Stegostoma tigrinum: one gene and its partners. The protein of the gene in region 2 purifies or fractionates together with the protein of the main gene of each other region. This does not show direct contact. Links are inferred from orthologs where the notes say so. Each region holds a gene or a part of one and is shown on either strand. Other genes may lie near its edges.

Region 1 (7,821 bases), on a different chromosome or scaffold from region 2:
GGCTGAAGATCAGCAACCAACATGTACCAAGAAAATATCTGAAAGGTTCAAGTTGTTTTATGTTTGCCTATAAAAGTTTGATGTTTTTCTGGAAGAATGACAATAGCATTGGCTACACTAAAACAGAAAAAAAGTCATCTGTATAAGACCATTGGAGCAGAAATTAGGCCATTCGGCCCATCGAGGCTACTCCACCATTCAATCATGGCTGATAAGTTCCTCAACCCCATTCTCATGCTTTCTCCCTGTAACCCTTGATCCCCTTGGTAAACAAGAATCTATCTATTGTCTTAAAGGTACACAATGACCTGGCCTCCACAGCCTTCTGCGGCAGTGAATTCTATAGATTCACCACTCTCTGGCTGAAAAAATTTCTCTTTATCTCCGTTCTAAAGGTCTTCACTTTACTGTAAGGCTGTGCCCTCGAGTCCTAGTCTTTCCTACCAATGGAAGCATCTTTGCAATGTCCACTCTGTCCAGGCCATTCAGTATTCTGTAAATTTCAATTAGATCCCCCCCCCCACCCCCCACCAATCCTTCTAAAGTCCAATGAGTATAGTCCCAGAGTCCTCAAACATTCCTCATATGTTAAGTTTTTCATTCCTGGGACCATTCTTGTGAACGTCCTCTGAACCTACTCCAGGACCAGTACATCCTTCCTAAGATATGGAGCCCAAAACTGCACACAGTACTTTAAATGTGGCCTGACCAGAGCATTATAAAGCCTCAGTAGTACATCTCTGCTTTTATTTTAAAGTCCTCACAAAATAAATGCCAGCATTGCATTTGCCTTCCTGACTACTGACTCAACCTGCAAGTTTACCTTCAGAGTATCCTGGACTAGAGCTCTGAAGCCTCTTTGCACTTCAGACTTCTGAAATTTCTCCCCATTTAGAAAATAGTCCATGCTTTTATTCTTCTTGCAAAACTGCGTAACCTCCCAGTTTCCCACGTTTGTACTCCACCTGCCACTTCTTTGCCCACTCTCCTATCCTGTCAAATCCTTCTGCAACCTCCCCACATACTCAATATACCTGTCCCTCCACCTATCTTTGTATCATCTGCAAACTTAGCCAGAATGCCCACAGTTCCTTCATCTAGGTCATTATGAATAAAGTGAAAAGTTGTGATCCTCTGACCCTTGTAGAACACCACTTGTCACTGGCTGCCATCCTGAAAAAGACCCTTTTATTCCCACTCTCTGCTTTCTGCCAGACAGCCAATCTTCTATCCATGCTAGCGCTTTGCCTCGAACACCACAGGCCCTTATCTTACTCAGCGGCCTCCTGTGCAGCACCTTGTCAAACACCGCCCTGAAGTCCAGGTAATTAACATCAATTGGCTCTCCTTGGTCTACCCTACATGTTACTTCCTCAAAGAATTTTAGCAGACTTGTCAGGCATGGCCTCCCCTTGATGAAACCATGCTGACTTTGCCCTATTTTACCATACACTTGCAAATATTCAGAAATCTCATCCTTTATAATGAACTCCAATCTTACCCAAAACCGAGGTTAGGCTAATCATCCTGTAATTTTCTGTCTTTTGCCTTATTCTCTTTTTAAACAGGGGTGTCACATTAATGATTTTCTAGTCCTTTGGGACCCTCCCTGACTCAAATGATTCTTGAAAGATCACCACTAATGCTTCCACTATCTCTTCAGCCATCTCCTTTCGAACTCTGGGGTGTAGTCCATCTGGTGCAGGGAATTTATCCACCTTCAGGCCAACCAGTGTTAATAGCACTATTTCCTTCATGATGGCCACCATTCTCAGCTCTGCCCCCTAATTCTCTTGAATTTTTGGGAGATTACTCATATCTCCTACCATGAAGACTGACGCAAAGTAATTATTATTCAGTTCCTCAGCCATTTCCTTGTTCCCCACTACAATCCATCGTCCATCATTTTGCAGTGGTCCAATGTCCACTTTTGTCTCTCATTTGCCTTTTATATATTTATAGAAACTCTTACAGTCTTCATTTACGTTACAGGCTAGCTTACCCCTTTTTTTGTTGCCTTCTGTTGGTCTTTGTAAGTTTCCCAGTCCTCTGATTTCCCACTGCCATTCACCACATTGTATGCTTTCTGTTTTGCTTTTATGCTATCCCTGACTTCCTCAGTCAGCCATGGTTGCCTCAGCATCCCTGTACCATGCTTTTTCCTGGGGATGAATTTTTGCTGCATCTCCTGAATTACTCCCAGAAACTCCTGCCATTGTTGTTCCACTGTCTATGTATGAGGCTTCATAAAATATTCTTTTAAAATTTTGCATGTTTAAAGTTACAATATGATAACACTCTAAATTCAGAGGATAAGATACTCTGATGGTTTGGTTGATGTTGTAAATCTGTATAGTTTTGGGCAGAATGGACTTGTACATAGCACCTTTTAACAGGAAAGCAACATACATGAAGAGCAGTATTTAAAGATCATGTGAATGTTTTTAATTACTATTTTTAAATTGTTTGGTTCAATAAATTTTAGAAATTTTTTTAGAATCATTTTAGAATAAATTTTTTTAAAAATTAATTGACCTCTGCTTAGACAGAATTTCACATTGCCTTTAGGGATCTGAATCTCTTGGGAGCCTGTGTCCTACAACCTGAGCTGCCTGTTCAGTTTGTGAGTGAGACTTTTCACCATGTAAAGAGGTATTTTTGTACAGGCTGCTGTTGTACACCTTCCACTTTGCCTCCTTCATCTGCCACTTGGACATGCGTTGGCATGGTGTTTTGCTGCTGAGCAGTGGGGATTCCACATGGAAGGCCGTCTGAGTGGGAGTCCTCCCATTTTCGATCAGGGACCTGGGGTGAAGGATGTTGCACACAGCAGTTACTTGAGGTTGGTTGGTTCGCAAAGCTGCTTTGTTGTTCCGCAACCATTTCATTACCATGCTGGATAACATCCTCAGTGCAGCCTCGACACCCACAACCCAAGCTACACAACAGTTACTTATAACCACAGATTATAGCAGTTCACAAACTCCAAGCCCATCTCTTTATTTGTGGCACCATGGACCATGTGTGAATAGAATAGATTCCCTACAGTGTGGAAACAGGCCATTCAGCCCAATAGGTCCATGCTGACCCTCTGCAGAGCATCCCATCCAAACTCTGACTGATTCCTACACCCTATTCTTTAAGCCTATGTTTCCAATGGCTAATGGCCCAATCTACACACTTGTCTGAACAGTATCCCCCTACCCCGCATTTCCATAGCTAACTCACCACGACTAAACATTCCTGAACCCTATAACAATTCAGCATGGCCAATCCACCTAATTTGCACATCTTTGGGCTGTGGGAGGAAATCCGAGCAACCAGCAGAAACCCACACAGAGAACATGTGAATTCCACAGAGAACGTTGCCCGAGGGTGGAATTGAACCTGGGTCCTTAGCACTGTGAGGCAGCAGTGCTATCCACTGAGCCAGCGTGCCGCCTTTAAAGCAACAGCACTGAGGATCGTAGTCAGCAGGGTTATATATATATATTGGTTGTGAACACTTGCGCATCCTTTTTGATTATTTGAAAAATTGCCAGTTCTGTTTTTTGGTTGCACCTCAACACTCTCGATCTTTGGGCATTCAGAGCAGGGGCCTGTGGGTAGTTTGGAGGCTGTCCTCCTGGGTATATGCCTAGGCTTGGCCAGGCTGGCTATCAGCAGGTTATTCCAGGACGTCATCTCTGCCAACTGTTTTTCCCCTTTCTGCAGTTACATTCATACCTAGGTGTCATCGGAGAGGGAGGACACAATGTCCACCAATGCTCACTAGCCCTTTAGAAGATACGCTGTGGAAGATACTGTGCTTTATCTCCCGTCCAACTCCATTATGCCATAACCCTTCCTGTTCTTCCTGAATGTCCCTCACTTTTGATTGCTTCCAAAATGTTTCCCCAATTAGAAAATAGTCTAAACATGTATTTTTGCTGGAACGTGAATAGTTGTGATCCTGATACAGACGCTTGCAATTTCACTAGTTACCTGCTTACAGTACTGGAAAAGTCCCCTTTATCCCTACTGTCTGCTTTCTGACAGACAGCCAACCTCTGTCAATGTCAGTACCTCACCCCTAACACCATGCTGCTCCTCCTGACAGGCTTCTAAACAGCACCTTGTCAAGGGCCTTCTGGAAATTGAAACAGATTACAAGCATTGGCTCTCATTTGTTTAACTCATTTGTTATCTCCTCAGCAAATTCTAACAGATTTGTTGTGCATGACTTCCCTTTCACAAAGCCGTTGATGACTCAGTTCTATTTTAGCATGCACTTCCAAGTACACTGCAATCTCATCCTTAACAATGGACTCTGAAATCTTACCAACAACTGAGGTCAGGTTAACTGACGTATAATTTCTCTTCTTAAACAGGGTTACTACATGAGCTATTTTCCTGTCCTCTTGGATCCTCCCTGACTTCAGTGATTCCTGAAAGATTTTGTTGAGAAAACAGATTTGAAAATTATGAGAGATAATGGGAACTGCAGATGCTGGAGAATCCAAGATAATAAAATGTGAGGCTGGATGAACACAGCAGGCCCAGCAGCATCTCAGGAGCACAAAAGCTGACGTTTCAGGCCTAGACCCTTCATCAGAAAATTATGAATAGTGTTTCCGTGGTCTTCTGGCAAACATCCAGAATGCACAACATCCTGTTTGATGTCAAACTGTCACTTAATTCAAAGTGGAATTATGCAAGTGGAAGTCTGCTTACGCGACCACAACTGACACTGCTCACTGGCCCAGCGATTGGAATCATTACGGTAAAAGACAACCACGGCACACAGGGGCCCGACTATGTGGATCATTACGGTGCCGCGCAGGCTCTGAGTCGGAGCTGCCACGTCATCCGGAGCAACGTCAGACGAATCCAAGATGGCGGCGTCCGTGCGAGAGAAGCAGATCGGTGAGTAGCCGCTTGACAACAGCTGTTGTTGTGATTACACAGGCGAAAGATTGGAAACTCCGGCATTCCTGATAGGTCGCTGTTATGTGTGCAAAAATAAAAGACCGGCAGGTTGGCCGGGTGCCGTGTCAAGCCGAAGAAACCTCGGTTGTAACAAACTGGGATTGATGATCTGGCTATGAACCCAGCGGTCGATGGGGATCTTCTGGTGTTATCAGTATCAGGCGTTTGTCACTCTTATTTTGCTCTGCCTTTTCTCAAGGCACTCATTATTTATGTAGAGGAATGGTCTTGCTCTGAAACAATGGCATCTGTGTGTCCACAGCGAAAACAATATTGTTCTGGCCCACACAGTTTCTGCGTTTAAAAAGAGATTCAGCGATGCATGTCGCAATGGTATCTGGTAATTATCAGTTAATTGTTCACAAATAATTAAAATGTTTGATAATATCCATATTTTTAACTGATTAAAATTGGGGCCAGTTTTCTTTTTTCATATCCATGTTAGGATCTAGGTAGGATAAACGTCCCTCTAGTTTCTCGGTTCCCATTATGACCAATGCTTTCTCTATATTAGACTTAGAATACAGAAGAGGTATTTACTAGGCATTTTGAGTACAAAATTGATTTGTTATGGAAAAAGAAAACTTAATCTATGAAGTGTATAATTGCTGAACGCGGTTTGAGAACTAAACATTTATTCCTCTAAATAGCCTGGTTAAAACACACATCAGGCAAAGGAAAACGAAGAAACAGGATTTCTCTGCAGATTCATTTTTAAATGAAAAAAAAATCACTTCTGCCAATAAGTCTTACCATTTTTCCTTCAAGAACTAAGGTATTCATATGGCTGTTGGTCTGACACTCTGGTGCACCAAAGACAGCTATCACTGAACATATGCAGTTGCCACAGGGGAACTTAGCAGATCTATTCAGGGAAAATCAAAATTTTCTCACGCAAGATCAGCTGGATGTGGGCTCCAAAAAGCACAATTTCAAAATAGTGGAACCCACTTATGACTGAGTTGAGGAGAATTTTTATTCAGAAGGTTGTAACTTTTGGAATTCTCTGCCCTAAAAGGGTGTGGAATTTCGGTCACTATAAATGTTCAAGGTAGAGATCAACAGATTTCTAAATAATCGTTAATGTAAAGGGATGTGGAGATAGTGTGGGGAAAAGGCATTGACATGAATAATCGTCCTTGATTATATTGAATGGCAGAGGAGGCTCAACATGCTGAGTGGTCTAATCCTATTTCCATGCCATACCATACTTGACTGACAGGAAGGGCTCTTCAGCTGAATTGGAAGACTTCTTTCCTTCAGCTTTTTTTCCCAATTGAAATTCAAACAAACAATCTCCAGGAAGAACTAGCAGCCAATCAGTAGTACAAACAGTACTTCTTTTTCCCCAAAGAGGTTTCAGATAAACCAGATTGGCAATTAGCTGGCACTGTGCAGTTTCCAAGAGTGACTAATTTAAAAAGAGTTCCAAAAAAGTCTCATTCACCTTTTAAAAATAAAACAGTTCAGGTATCTCCACAATCCTTTCAACTCAAGTCAGCAAATTACTAATTATGAAGTCTTCATAACAGCATTTATATAAGCATACCCACACCACACAATTGAGACCATCTGTTATACCAAATGATTATCTAAGAACAAGTAGTTCCTCATTGTAATGACTTGCGTGAATCAAAAAACTGTCACTTGAGTACTTCAGTATTGTAGTCCAAATACACCTTTCATTAAAATGGTCCAAAAAGGCAGATTATCATTCTATTCTAACTGTTTCAGCTCTCTACATGATGGCACAGATTATTGCTAATCTAGCCATCAAAGTTTACTTTTAGAAGATAACCTGATGCAGAATATAATGCTTTTGTTTTGTGGACAACAGTTCATGAGATTCAGTTGGTGATTGAAATTAAATACAGAAACCTAAGAAAGAGGGGCAAAAGTAGACCATTCTTCCCTTTGAGCCACCTTTGCCATTCGTGTGATCATCCAACTGAGAGGTCTGTTCCTGTTTCTCCCTAATATCCTTGATCCCATTAGACACAAGTGCTCTCCAACTAATTCTTGAAATCATATAAAAATTTGGGCTTGACGGCTTTCTGTGGTAGTGAATTCCATAAGCTTAGCACTCCCTGGGTGAAGACATTTCTCTTCATCTCAGTTCGAACTGGTTTTATCCACATCCTTAGACTGTGACACTATTTGGTTGGTGTCCTGGATTAGATTTTAATGTTTCTGTATTTGAGCAAGTTCTGTGGTCTGAGCAAAGCACATCATAGTACGTTATCAAGGAGAGGGACACACTTGTAACATACTCTCGTTGTTTACAATTTAATATGTCTAAGCAAAAACTGGCTCCATTTGAAAAGTGCCAGTAACCTGTTTGTAACCACATGATAGTTATTTATTGTTTTATGCTAAAAGCTGGATAAAAGTAAGTTAGTATACATAGAATAAATAACATTGAAAAATAGTTTTGAAATTGAAGCTTGCTGTGAATATTTGCATTTTTTGAGGTTCCTGGTATGTACTAATTAACTTTGTTAAGATATATCTTTCATGTATAAATTACAATTGCTGAGAGACAATTCCGTTAAAGTTATTTAGAAAGTCAGTGTCCTGTCTACAGCCAAAAAGTATCCCTTTCATTATACTAATTAAGTTTCCATTTCCAGTTCAACATTAAATTCTGAGTTTACTATTTATAAAAATGCTTGTATTACTTTGTTTTTTTAGGATATCTTTTAGTTTTTTTTTGCTTCAATAAGTTCAAAATAAATTTAAAATTTTCACAATTCCATTAGAGACTAATAACTTTTAAAAAGTTAATACAACATTGGTTAACAAATACAACTGAAACATGTCTGAAACATTTTGACGGAATGTCATGCTTCTGGT
Region 2 (6,900 bases):
AATTGATGGATCACAGATCACAGACAGCTAGGCCCAAAAGGACACCAGCGCCCACTGACTATCCAGCACAATAATCACATCACCAGGACATGCCCAATGCATTTCACAGCCAGCTAATTATTTTTCAAGTCCAAATTGTTGCTGAGAAGGAGGAACGCGGGAATAATGTGAATAAAGTAAGATCCAACAAAACAACAATAAGAATGTTCCAGATCATCTACATGGAGAGACAGTTGTTGGCTAGGACACAGAGACAACTCCCCTGCTCTTCTCTAAAACTGTGCCATCGGATTTTTGACCCCCACCTGTTCAGGCACACAAGTTTCCAGGGTTTTACGTCTCTTCCAAAACTCACTTGCAGCAGTGGCACTGGCCTGAAATGATGTTCTGAAGGCCTAGGATGGAGCTTCAGCCACATGATTCAAAAGCAAGATCGCCATTAGTGAAGTGGCACTGACGTTTAGAATGCATTCACCTTGGTCGATATGCTCAAGAGGGAAGTACAGGTCATTCTCAACACCTCGGGGAGGGGAGGGGAGGGGCGGGGGGAGCAGCACTCCTCCCCCACATAGACATGAATGTCATGCCACTGTATCTCACAGGAATTGAGAGTGTTTGATAGAGTGTGTTTGCAATCATTTTCTATTAATAACAGAAGTTGCTTTCTTCCCTTCTTCAATTCGTCTCAGTTTCTACTTAATATCTGAATATCAAGACAAGATAGAAGTGAAACAGAATCTCAGTTGTTACTAGCTCGCCTACCTGATAATGGTATGACTCCCAAGCAAAAGCAAGTCAAGATTCCTGGCTCATAATATTAAAAGAAATTGATAGTTAGTCTCTCGGTTAGGGATTGGTCAGGATCATCCAACCCATGAAACTCAACACAATAAGAGCCACTCATTATTTGCAGGGACTGGGTCCGTGACAGATTTCCCCCCTGTTCTCTGAACACTCTTCGCAAAACTATCCAAGGCTGCCTGTGGTCCTTTATCTACAGTCAAACGTTATGTAAAACAAGTATTTGTGAACCGCACATGCAAAATTCTTGATATGACTGAATTCAAAGGAGCGTAATATTTCAATTGGTGCAGCCCAAAAACCTGGAAATCCATATTTTCCTGAGATACAGAGAGAGACACACTCACACATAAAGAGAGTGCCACACAGACACAGCACTTGGATTTTAAAACAACCACTATCCCATTTCAGTCCATCAAAAATACAGAAAAATTAAAAAGATCTTTATTGGATCAAGAGCTAATAGATAGGCTGGATCTCTGTCCTGGTCCATACCAACATAGAATGACGCATTTTGAGCCCTTATGCTGTAAACATTTCTAAGTTTGAAATTTTTTGTGAAGTAGGAGCATTTAGTTACTAAAATCTTCAAATGAATTTCACCAAAGATAACTTTGGAACTCCAAGCAATATCTTTTCTACCCTGGAAATCAGACCTAACACAAAGGCAGAAGGCTCCAGGTCACCTCTGTAGGATGTCCTCAGGGTAACATTTTCAGTAGCTTCAATGACTTTCCTTCTATTTTAAAAGGCCATAAGTTGGCATGTTTGCTGATGACTGCATATTGTTCAGTTTTCATTTCCACTCCTCAGGTATAGAAGGATCCTGTAGCAGCAGTAAGACCAGGGCAACATTCAGGCTTCGGCTGATTAGTGACAAGTCATATTTATGCTACACAAGTGGAATGTAGTGATCACCGCAATGGGTAAGAATCTGGCCATCTTCCCTGAACATTCAACAGCATAATCACCAAATACCCCATTGTCAGCATACCATGAATCATCATTGATGAAAGACTGGACAAGATGTAAATACCTTCAGAAATAGCAAGAACTGCAGATACTGGAGTCAGAGATAACAGTGTACAGCTGGAGAAGCACAGCAGGCCAGGCAGCAGAGGAGCACGGAAGCTGACATTTCAAGTCAGGACCTTGTTGAGCTCTTGTGGCGCAATGACTGTGTCCTCTAGCTCTGGCCCAAAATGTCTGGCTTCAAGTCCCACCTACCAGAGGGGTGTACCACAACATCTGATTAGACCAATTTTAAAAAAAACCATAAATACTTTGAATACAAGAGTTTCAAGTTTGCAATTGTATAGCAAATGATTCATCTATGTCCCCAGAGCCTTTCCACCATCTGCAAATTACAAGCATGATGGAATTCCCTGGTTGAACACAAAAGGTTTGGCATGATCTTTGATGAACACATCCAAAAACAGCACATAATGACTACAATGTATACCAATAAAATCCACTGCAGCAACTCACCAAGGCTCCAACAGCCACTTACAAACCTACAATCTCTATCAAGGTTGGAACAAGGGAAGCAGATGCACCACCTGAAAGTTTACTTCCAAGCCCCATATACCCCTGACTTGGAAATACCATCATTGTTGCTGAAAATTCTGACCAGAACATCATTAGAAGTGTCCCTACATCCAAAGAACGTCATCCAAGAAGGCAGCTCACCACGCTCTTAACAAGGACCATCAAACATGAGCCATCTTTGACCACACCCATCACTAGGAAAACCGAAGAGTGAACTGTCTGGCTGTGTACTCGTCAAGAATTAGGGAGGCAGGAACTTGGCCTCCATTGAGCCGCCTAGTGGCCCAGAGCCTGCAATTACACCGTGACAGTTGACATTGAAAAATTAAGTGACGTGAACATGAATATCAAGATGAAAAGTCAAGGGTTTAAGAGACAGAGTAGGGGCACTGGCTACAGCATTTATACCAACGCACCGAGATTACTGAAGGGCGTTACTGATCAAAAGCTAAATAATGCGTTCTGGGACAGCTCCATTACACCATGCCTTATGATATAGTACCATTATTAGCCTCAGTCTCTCGCCGTTATCTCCACCCGGTTACCTTTTCCAGCCGCCAGTCCTTTTCTTCCCTCTTTTCCCCCGCCATCGACTCGCATCTCACCAACAGCCGCAAGAAGTTCTTCTCCAACCTGGAGGTCGCCATCTTTACGACAACAACTTCCTTTGCATCACTTCCGCCGTATCCTTGGAGGCTGCCATAATTAATGCAGGCAGGTGATGAACAACGAGAGGCGGCAAGATGGTCCTCATCCTGAAAAATAACCTGCCTAAGTCTCGGCGCCACCTGGTGGCCGCAGCGCGCCTGGCATTTTAAAACCACCAACAAACATTTACTTTTGAATGTATTTGAAAATCATACTTTCATCACTTTCATCATCTTCACAAAAATGTTTGCTACAATCATTTTGTTAAAAACACTGCTGATAATTCTCACCTCCATATCATTTCTGCAAATAAACTGGTCATCTGTGTTACCAACTCTTCAAAATTACCCTGGAGTCTCCATGATTAGATTATTATTCTGTTATTTTCTCCGATTTACCTCTTGTTTCTAATCTGCATGCACGTTGGTTCTGTAGCTTTTTCTTCTCATATTCAGTGATTAATAAACTCATTCATTTGGTTAGTTCAACAGAGAGGTTTGAATTTAACCTTGCTGCAGCAACGGTAACAGTTAGTGAATAGTCATAAGATCAGAAGAAATAGGAACATGAATAGGCCATTTGGCCCCTTAAGCTTGCCGTACCATTCAATAGGATCTTGGCTGACCTGGCATTCCTGACATCCATTTTACGGCCTATACCCTGGAAACCTTGATTTCATGGGAGATCAAGAATTTATCTACCTCAGACCTAAATATACACAGGGACTTTGTCACCAAGGACTCTGTGGCAAGGAGCTCTAAAGACTCTTACCTCTCTGAGAGCAGAAATTCCTCTTCATCTCAATCTTAACTTGGTGCCCTAATATTCTAAGACTATGCCCTCTAGTCCCAGACTCTCTCATGAGGGGAAACATCCTCTCAGCATTTACACTGTAAAGCCCCTTCAGAACCCTTTCTGTTTCAGTGAGACCACCTCTTATTCTTCTGAAATCCAGTGAATAGCGATCTCACCTCTTTAGCTTTTGTGTATCGGAGAATTGCTCCAGAGCAGGGATCATCCTTGTGTATCTTCTCTGAACTGCCTCTAATGAAATAATATCTTTTCTTAAATAAGGGGACCAAAACTTGTTCATAGTACTCCATAGGAGCTCTCACCAGCACCTTGTACATTTGCAGTAAGACTTCTCCACTCTCATACTCCAACCACCTTGAAATAAAGGCCAACATTCCATTAGCTTTCCTGGGAACATCCACCCTCACCCAGATGCATAATGATTTGAGGTGTCCAGTTTGGAACCAAATGAATTGGGAACCCTGGACAGGGGTTCGATCATCAAAGCACAACACAGATTCATTTAGTCTTTGTGCTTGTCTTGTGCTTTTGAAATCAACAGAAAATGGAAGTTTCTCAGAAGACCTTTGATGAAGACTGGCCCTAATATTTCATCCTCACACACAACGTTCTGTCAAAATTCTAATTCTATCATATTGGTTTACAGTCCATCAGACATCATAAAAGCAGTTCACCTGAAAATTACAAGATAATAAAATGTGAGGCTGGATGAACACAGCAGGCCAAGCAGCATCTCAGGAGCACAAAAGCTGACGTTTCAGGCCTGGACCCTTCATCAGAGAGGGGGATGGGGAGAGGGAACTGGAATAAATAGGGAGAGAGGGGGAGGCGGACCGAAGATGGAGAGTAAAGAAGATAGGTGCAGAGACTATAGGTGGGGAGGTAGGGAGGGGATAGGTCAGTCCAGGGAAGACGGACAGGTCAAGGAGGTGGGATGAGGTTAGTAGGTAGATGGGGGTGCGGCTTGGGGTGGGAGGAAGGGATGGGTGAGAGGAAGAACCGGTTAGGGAGGCAGAGACAGGTTGGACTGGTTTTGGGATGCAGTGGGTGGGGGGGAAGAGCTGGGCTGGTTGTGTGGTGCAGTGGGGGGAGGGGACGAACTGGGCTGGTTTAGGGATGCAGTAGGGGAAGGGGAGATTTTGAAACTGGTGAAGTCCACATTGATACCATTAGGCTGCAGGGTTCCCAGGCGGAATATGAGTTGCTGTTCCTGCAACCTTCGGGTGGCATCATTGTGGCAGTGCAGGAGGCCCATGATGGACATGTCATCTAGAGAATGGGAGGGGGAGTGGAAATGGTTTGCGACTGGGAGGTGCAGTTGTTTGTTGCGAACTGAGCGGAGGTGTTCTGCAAAGCGGTCTCCAAGCCTCCACTTGGTTTCCCCAATGTAGAGGAAGCCGCACCGGGTACAGTGGATGCAGTATACCACATTGGCAGATGTGCAGGTGAACCTCTGCTTAATGTGGAATGTCATCTTGGGGCCTGGGATAGGGGTGAGGGAGGAGGTGTGGGGGCAAGTGTAGCATTTCCTGCGGTTGCAGGGGAAGGTGCCGGGTGTGGTGGGGTTGGAGGGCAGTGTGGAGCGAACAAGGGAGTCACGGAGAGAGTGGTCTCTCCGGAAAGCAGACAAGGGTGGGGATGGAAAAATGTCTTGGGTGGTGGGGTCGGATTGTAAATGGCGAAAGTGTCGGAGGATGATGCGTTGTATCCGGAGGTTGGTAGCGTGGTGTGTGAGAACGAGGGGGATCCTCTTAGGGCGGTTGTGACGGGGGGGGGGTTGTGAGGGATGTGTTGCGGGAAATATGGAAGACGCGGTCAAAGGCGTTCTCGATCACTGTGGGGGGAAAGTTGCAGTCCTTGAAGAACTTGGACATCTGGGATGTGCGGGAGTGGAATGTCTTATCGTGGGAGCAGATGCGGCGGAGGCGGAGGAATTGGGAATAGGGGATGGACTTTTTGCAGGAGGGTGGGTGGGAGGAGGTGTATTCTAGGTAGCTGTGGGAGTCGGTGGGCTTGAAATGGACATCAGTTACAAGCTGGTTGCCTGAGAGGAGCTCGAACAGTTCATCCACTTCACCAACACCTTCCACCCCAACCTTCAGTTCACCTGGGCCATCTCCAGCACATCCCTCACCTTCCTGGACCTCTCAGTCTCCATCTCAGGCAACCAGCTTGTAACTGATGTCCATTTCAAGCCCACCGACTCCCACAGCTACCTAGAATACACCTCCTCCCACCCAACATCCTGCAAAAATTCCATCTCCTATTCCCAATTCCTCCGCCTCTGCCGCATCTGCTCCCACGATAAGACATTCCACTCCCGCACATCCTAGATGTCCAAGTTCTTCAAGGACCGCAACTCTCCCCCCACAGTGATCGAGAACGCCCTTGACCGCGTCTCCCGTATTTCCCGCAACACATCCCTCACACCCCCCCCCCTCCCCCCCCCCCACGGCCGTCACAACCGCCCTAAGAGGATCCTCCTCGTTCTCACACACCACGCTACCAACCTCCGGATACAACGCATCATCCTCCGACACTTTCGCCATTTACAATCCGACCCCACCACCCAAGACATTTTTCCATCCCCACCCTTGTCTGCTTTCCGGAGAGACCACTCTCTCCGTGACTCCCTTGTTCGCTCCACACTGCCCTCCAACCCCACCACACCCGGCACCTTCCCCTGCAACCGCAGGAAATGCTACACTTGCCCCCACACCTCCTCCCTCACCCCTATCCCAGGCCCCAAGATGACATTCCACATTAAGCAGAGGTTCACCTGCACATCTGCCAATGTGGTATACTGCATCCACTGTACCCGGTGCGGCTTCCTCTACATTGGGGAAACCAAGTGGAGGCTTGGAGACCGCTTTGCAGAACACCTCCGCTCAGTTCGCAACAAACAACTGCACCTCCCAGTCTCAAACCATTTCCACTCCCCCTCCCATTCTCTAGATGACATGTCCATCATGGGCCTCCTGCACTGCCACAATGATGCCACCCGAAGGTTGCAGGAACAGCAACTCATATTCCGCTTGGGAACCCTGCAGCCTAATGGTATCAATGTGGACTTCACCAGTTTCAAAATCT
Region 3 (6,974 bases), on a different chromosome or scaffold from region 2:
AATTTTAACACTGCTCAAATGTATGAGGGATTCTTTACCACTGATAGATCAAAATCAAGTCATAATGGTTCTACAATCTAAAGAGAAGTAATTATGTTGAAAGTATATGGAAAATAAATCAAAACTGATATAAAATACTCGAAATTCAAAGCAGTTTGGTCAGCATCTGTTCAGAACGATGGTTAACTCTTCAGATGTGATAACGGAAACCTATAAATTAACAAATGCAATATGATTAATCTGCTCTATCATTCAACATTACTAAAGCTTTAAGAGTGAAGTTACAATTTAACAAGGGAATGAAGAACTTTCAACTACCTGTAGTCAATTTAGCAATAAAGCTTGAATTATGCTAATACTAAAAATAACTTTAGCCAAATCAATTTGGATGTAAAATCTGAATGCCAAGAAACATTAGTTGGTTTAAAGCCAACTCAAAAATATAAGATGATTCACTACTCCTTTTTAAAACTATTTCGACTTCCATTTAAGTGTGGCACATTAACTTATGTAACGCAAATGGGCAGGACAGAGTTGGCATGCTGTCATGAGTAGACCACTGGGAGTTTCAAGCTGCATTTTACGGCCATTTTTCACCATTGCTTTTATCATTTAGGACACAATAGCATGAGAACATGTATGGGATATTCGTAACCATCAGCATGTTCAGTTAGATTACAGCTAATATCTCAACGTCAACTCCTTACCTACTGCTGATTCTGTTTACCCAACGGGGAAAAAAAAGTACACCCAAGTCTTGAGATTTTCATTTGGCAAAGCAGTCGCACCCATTTGGGGTAAGGAACTGCACATTTATACTACCTTCTTAATGAAAATGATTCCTGACTTCATCTTTGCATGGTCTAACTTTAATTTTAAAAACCATTGCCTTTATGTTTCACAATTCCCCAACACAGTAATTAGTTTCTAATCTATCAAGTTATTTCACTATTTTACACATGACAACCCACCAGTCTTCAAACCTCATGGGATCATGTCTTGTTTATGAAATCTATCTTTACAACTTAACCCTTTAAGCTCTGCTACAATTCAGTAGAATTTACAACATAGCACATTTTTCTGAGTAAGCATATCCTTACTGAGGTATAATACAGGAACCCATTACTGGTTGCAGTACCTCAGTTGGGATTCGTCCAATACTCCATACATTGAAACATCAGTTTATCATTTTTGTACTCCAGGGCCCCTTGACATTGAGGTGCACATTCCATTAACTGATTTGTATACATGCACACCAAAACCTTTTGTTTCTCCACAGCGAATGGCAATAGACAGATTAATATGTAAATTCCAAATTTCTTTCAAGTCATTGCCCCTAGATAACTCAGTATCTCCCTCAGTATACCAGAGGTGACATCTCAGGTCAGAAATTTTTAGGTGTGAAGCCTTGTTTAGAATCTGACTGTGTATCAACTTGGAGATTGACTCCTTCCTAACTGATTAAAGACTTAACAGCCATCTTAGGTTTGATCAATGCATTCGCATCAGTTCCAAGATCTTTGATCCATCGCTTCTAAATGTTGATTTCCATCAGTAGCAAGAAAGCCCTCAAGTCAGTCAGAGGGATGACAGATGTAGATCTGTATTTCTATCTGCATCTATAATCAAACTTGCATATTTTTCTCATGAAATTGCATAGTTTAAGTAACCTGCTTCTATCCAACAAAGAGTGAGCTTCTCAGTTTCACCAGTAAAATGCAAATGCTGTTCATTTTTGATGAAACAGAGAAAATGCACATTGCATTCAGAAATTCCTACACATCTTGTTACAGAAAAACTTCCTAATAAATCTAAAAAGTGAACACATTAGAAACATAAAATCACCTCTTGTAAAGATCAGCTGCTGTATGAACTGACACATACAAATAATCACTTGGAAATATTAAACATAACTTAGGGTATTTCCATTACTTATGGATGCAGCAAGTTATTCTTTATTATTCCTTCAGCTCGAATAGCCTGAAGCACCATTAAGGGTAGCATCTATTTTTTTCTCCAATCATAGCAGGACTTTCACCTTGAGCAGTTTACTCAAGAGCCTAATACGTGCTGATCACACACTGCATTATGTTAAATTTTCATTTAATCATATGTTTAAACAATGTTGACATGGGCCTATAAAACCAGAACAACATGGAAGTTCTGGGAAGAAATCATGGTTTAAAATCATCTGTACAAAAATTCAGAACATAAAGGTGCCATGACAAAGTATATGTTACTCTGGCTCTGATTAACATAATTTCATTATCATCACCAAAACCCAGTTATTCTATCCAGAGTGATTCAGAAGCTGGAATCCAAAATTACCCTCAATTTAAGTGGATGAAATGTGCATATGTCTGCACAATCAAGGGTGTGTGGTGCAGTGGTCAACTGGTGGAATTTAATACAATTGATAAAATTGAAAGCTGACGTCAGCGTTGCAGTGAAATTATCAACTGTTGTAAAAGCTCATCTGGTTCACCATACCCGGCCTGGTCTGTACGTGACTCCGGGCTCAGCAATACGAAGGCGTCTTAAACGCCCTCTGTACCGGCCCTATCAGCTACCCAGTTCAACAGCGAATAAGGATGAGCAACAAACGCTGGTTTTGACTGCGACACCGATATCGCATGAAAAAAAAACCAAAAGCACATACTTATTGTTCACAATTACTAAACCTTTAATGAGGTAGCTGCAAAAAAAATCACAGATCTATATAATTTACAGGTTGAATCCATACTCTGGGTCCCACGGATAAATACACTGTCGGTACACGCACACAGTTCTGTTTCTGTGCAACTTCAGTACAGACCATTCTAAATTAGGTGTTATTCTTCGGTACTAAGACAACGCGTGAATCATTCGCAACTTTACCTGGACCAGCGCTTTTATTTCCAGATCATATTTGATGATTTCTTGCGCGCAGATTCGGACAAGAACATCCGGAGCAACCGCCATCTTTCCCCAGTGGCTACGGAGGCCCAGAGCCACGTGGGCGAAACGCACTTCTTCCAAAACAGATCCGCAGCCGAAAGGCAACGTTTCCCTGCTGCTACAATGACTGAAATGCTTTGAGAATATAAAACCGTTTTTTTTAAATGGGGTGCACTCATCCTAGTACTTAGCAGGTAGAGGTTAACATCTCCTCGATATGCAATAGACTTGGAGCTTACAGATGAAGTTCCGTAGACCTTTGGAAGACCAGTCAAAATATCTTGTGAGTTTTCATGGAAGTGTTTTAAGAGTAAGAGCTGGCTGGATTGTGTGTGGGTCATGTGAGTCGGAGACCCGAACAAATACAGCTTAATAAATAAATCTGATTTTACTCCATCTGGCCGACACCCAAGATTGCCTCCTACTGTTCTAAACTTATTTGTTTTGGATAAAAACCCTGTGATGAATGAACTTGCAAGTGTTAAAAGAAAGCCAGTTGTGTCTTGGAATGGTGCACTGTTGTTAAAAGTTCTACACAATTGTCAGACTAGCATCAGAATGTCCTTTGGACCAAGTGAATCAAATTTGGACTTTCGTTACTATGACATTTTCACATGATCATTTCTGGTACCTTATGGTATTTGCCACCTCCATCAGTGTGTAATACTGGATAAGGATGCCTTGAGATAGTGCTTTGGCCAACTCTCCTCTGTCCTTGAGATAATGGGAACTGCAGATGCTGGAGAATCCAAGATAACAAAATGTGAGGCTGGATGAACACAGCAGGCCAAGCAGCATCTCAGGAGCACAAAAGCTGACGTTTCAGGCCTAGCCCCTTCATCAGAGAAGGGGATGGGGTGAGGGTTCTGGAATAAATAGGGAGAGAGGGGGAGGTGGACCAAAGATGGAGAGAAAAGAAGATAGGTGGAGAGGAGAGTATAGGTAGGGAGGGGATAGGTCAGTCCACGGAAGATGGACAGGTCAAGGAGATGGGATGAGGTTAGTAGGTAGGAAATGGAGGTGCGGCTTGGGGTGGGAGGAAGGGATCGGTGAGAGGAAGAACAGGTTAGGGAGGCAGAGACAGGCTGGGCTGGTTTTGGTATGCAGTGGCGGGAGGGGAAGAGCTGGGCTGGTTGTGTGATGCAGTTGGGGGGAGGGGACGAACTGGGCTGGTTTTGGGATGTGGTGGGGGAAGGGGAGATTTTGAAGCTGGTGAAGTCCACATTGATACCATTGGGCTGCAGGGTTCCCAAGCAGAATGTGAGTTGCTGTTCCTGCAACCTTTGGGTGGCATCATTGTGGCACTGCAGGAGGCCCATGATGGACATGTCATCTAAAGAATGGGAGAGGGAGTTGAAATGGTTCCCGACTGGGAGGTGCAGTTGTTTATTGCGAACCGAGCGGAGGTGTTCTCTGTCTTTGTTTGTCTTGGACATATCTGGTGATTAGTGGTCAAGGATACAGCACTGTGGAGTATCAACAGAAGAAGCTCTGCTCTAGGATATCAAGAAGGTTTACTGCATGACAGAAATGAGGCAACTGCATTTGCTCAGACATAATTATTAGGATCTTAGGGAGCTGGTACATCTTCTCCCTCTGAAAGCAAAAGTAGAAGCCCATGTGTCTACTGCATATGACTGTTGTTGAATGGCTGGAAAGAATGTAGCATGAACGGGAATTAACCCCTTCAGAACCATGATCTTTTGCAATATTGCCCCTTAATCCTTATAGTTAACCCTTTACACAATTATGTTGTTATGATCAAAATTGGAATCATGCATTGTCTCTATTTCTCTCTCTTTGTCATTAGCCCACTACTTGCATAGGTCACAACATAAATGTTGTAGCTAGTTTCTGATATGACAAACATGTGTTTTCTCAAATCAGGACCTCTTTCAGGAGGCAGTCACATCCCTTAGATTAATTCTGTCAAATTTGGTCCATAGCCAAGGAAGAAGGGTGTGACTGAATGAATCAGATATGGAGATCCAGAATTTAGCTCTGCAAGTTTTCCAGCTTTCTTTCTTAAGTGGACTATGGGAGAGATGTATGGACTTGCTAAGCTTTGACCAAGATCTTTCTCTAAAGGCTTCTGCTGGAAGTCTCGGACTTTCGGTGACGGGATGGGTTCCGGTGGTAAGGAATCTTTACCAGACTGTCATCTTTAGTTACAGTACTCAATGTCACCATCACTTTTAATGAATGCTGTCCCATACACAGTGAGAGTAGAAACAACCTGTCTCCTCTGGTTCTCCTCCAACTCGCCAATGTCCGTCTTTGCAATGAGCTGAGAGACATCTGTTCCAATTAGTTCACTGTCTTTGACAGTTGCAGGTTTAAGGTCATTGTGTTTCTGGTCGCTGAAGTTGGCAATGTGCATGGGTAGACTACCCATTTCTCCCACAGTAAGTCTTCCAGGGTTATATCAAGTGAGAGTTCTACTCCATATGACTCTTTATGCTCTAGCAAGGCCCGAAGTTGACAAGTTGGAGATACTGGCATGAAAGTTCAAGAACAGTCACTGCACGGATGGATAGAAGAATGATTCCCTGCTGCACAAACAGTTCTAGGATTTGTTAAAGCTTGATGTACCTTGAGTGCATGAAGCACGCTTAAGGACTTCTGAGCCACATCTGTCAACCTCAATCTACTGCTTATAGCACCTTTCCAAGATCAGCCAGATATCTCTGAACACATTCAACCCAAAACCACGGCTATTCTCGATGTCTCTACTTCCACTGGGATATCAATCTGGCTACAATGCCTAGGCAGTACTATAGCTGTCTGTCCCTGATTGATTTGAAGGAGACATTCAGGAGGATGATGTGGCTGAACAATCTTCTCAGCTCCAGGGATACAGGAACCAAGTCTTCTGATTCAGCTTGCTTGTATTCGTAAGACCTCAGCTGTAGCTATTTCAGTCTATAGCTGTCCCAAATATTATCCTCAGTACCTCAAAGATCCATTGTGGACTTCTTTAAACACATGGTCATCTTCCCAGTAGATTTTCCACATATTTGATTTAATAATAAACACCGCCTCCTTGCTCGTATTAAGACTTCTGCATTGCTGTAATTAGCTGTGTGCCCTCAGTCCAGTCTTCATTCACAGAATTATCAGGTGTTTCTAGTCTTCCTCCAAATCTGTCAATTTTCCCACTCATTGTCAAGTAGAATATTTGAGCAGGAGTGCTCCTTCCTTCTTCCACAGCATCCCTGGGAACTCACATGAGGAGCATCTGACTGGGTTTAAGATACCGGAACAGCTTTGGCTTTCCACATAAACATTGCAATTTTCAATCCTTCACCATCATTTCCATCTTGACCAGGCCCTTTTCAAACTCATCAGCCTGAGGCTTGTTCTGTGAAATCTTATTGACTGATAGAAATGTAATGCAAGATTTAAGCATGTGGATGGCTCAAAGATCATGAAGCAGGGATTCTTTACTTTTCAAACATAGGGGGATTTTACAGTTAAACTAGGAAAACAGAGTATTTGTGTGGATCTAAACCTGTAGTTCATATCCAGTTGCAGTAAACCCTTGTCTGTCTCTCCCTGTTTGTGTGTGGCCTCTTTTCTGACAAAGATGCTCCAGGGAGGATGCTATCGAATACTCAATCACCTTCCACACCATTGCTGCAAGCTTACAGAGGCTCCATTACAGAAACATGAATATTAATATCTCAGAGCCATAACTTTATACAAAAGCTACATGGAATTTTTACTTTTTGAATGGGACCACATTCCATTTTCTACCCACTTTTCCCTAAGAAAATAAAAAAGTGTTTGTATGAAGTATTATAAGCTATTGGTCCCATTGTCAAATGTTACACTAAAGATAAATATCCTCAGCTGTGAGAAATACATGTCCCAATAATATCTGCAAGTAAAGGCCTGTTTTCTTGAAAGCATTATTAAAATACTGTTTGCAAACAATGATGTTTATTTAGTATTGTCAGATGGGTTTGGGGCTTGTAATTAATAATTCATCTGAAAAGGGATCCTCTTACCAGAGAAACTGTAGAGAATCACTACAA

The links.
Region 1: the proteins of use1 (region 2) and scfd1 purify together in Homo sapiens (affinity purification with mass spectrometry; 3 studies listed by BioGRID and IntAct, counting the BioPlex papers as one, with this or other methods). This does not show direct contact. The link is inferred for Stegostoma tigrinum from reciprocal best matches to the Homo sapiens genes USE1 and SCFD1.
Region 3: the proteins of use1 (region 2) and bnip1b purify together in Homo sapiens (co-immunoprecipitation; 4 studies listed by BioGRID and IntAct, counting the BioPlex papers as one, with this or other methods). This does not show direct contact. The link is inferred for Stegostoma tigrinum from reciprocal best matches to the Homo sapiens genes USE1 and BNIP1.

The regions. Positions count from the first base shown.
Region 1 is NC_081363.1:61,589,823-61,597,643, reverse strand, and holds the start of scfd1 (sec1 family domain-containing protein 1), read left to right. Parts: upstream 1-4,817; 5' UTR 4,818-4,874; coding exon 4,875-4,905; intron 4,906-7,821. UniProt on the Homo sapiens protein: Plays a role in SNARE-pin assembly and Golgi-to-ER retrograde transport via its interaction with COG4. Involved in vesicular transport between the endoplasmic reticulum and the Golgi.
Region 2 is NC_081383.1:7,078,422-7,085,321, forward strand, and holds the start of use1 (vesicle transport protein USE1), read right to left. Parts: upstream 3,010-6,900; 5' UTR 2,997-3,009; coding exon 2,895-2,996; intron 1-2,894.
Region 3 is NC_081366.1:55,035,817-55,042,790, reverse strand, and holds the start of bnip1b (vesicle transport protein SEC20), read right to left. Parts: upstream 3,005-6,974; 5' UTR 2,962-3,004; coding exon 2,878-2,961; intron 1-2,877. UniProt on the Homo sapiens protein: As part of a SNARE complex may be involved in endoplasmic reticulum membranes fusion and be required for the maintenance of endoplasmic reticulum organization. Also plays a role in apoptosis.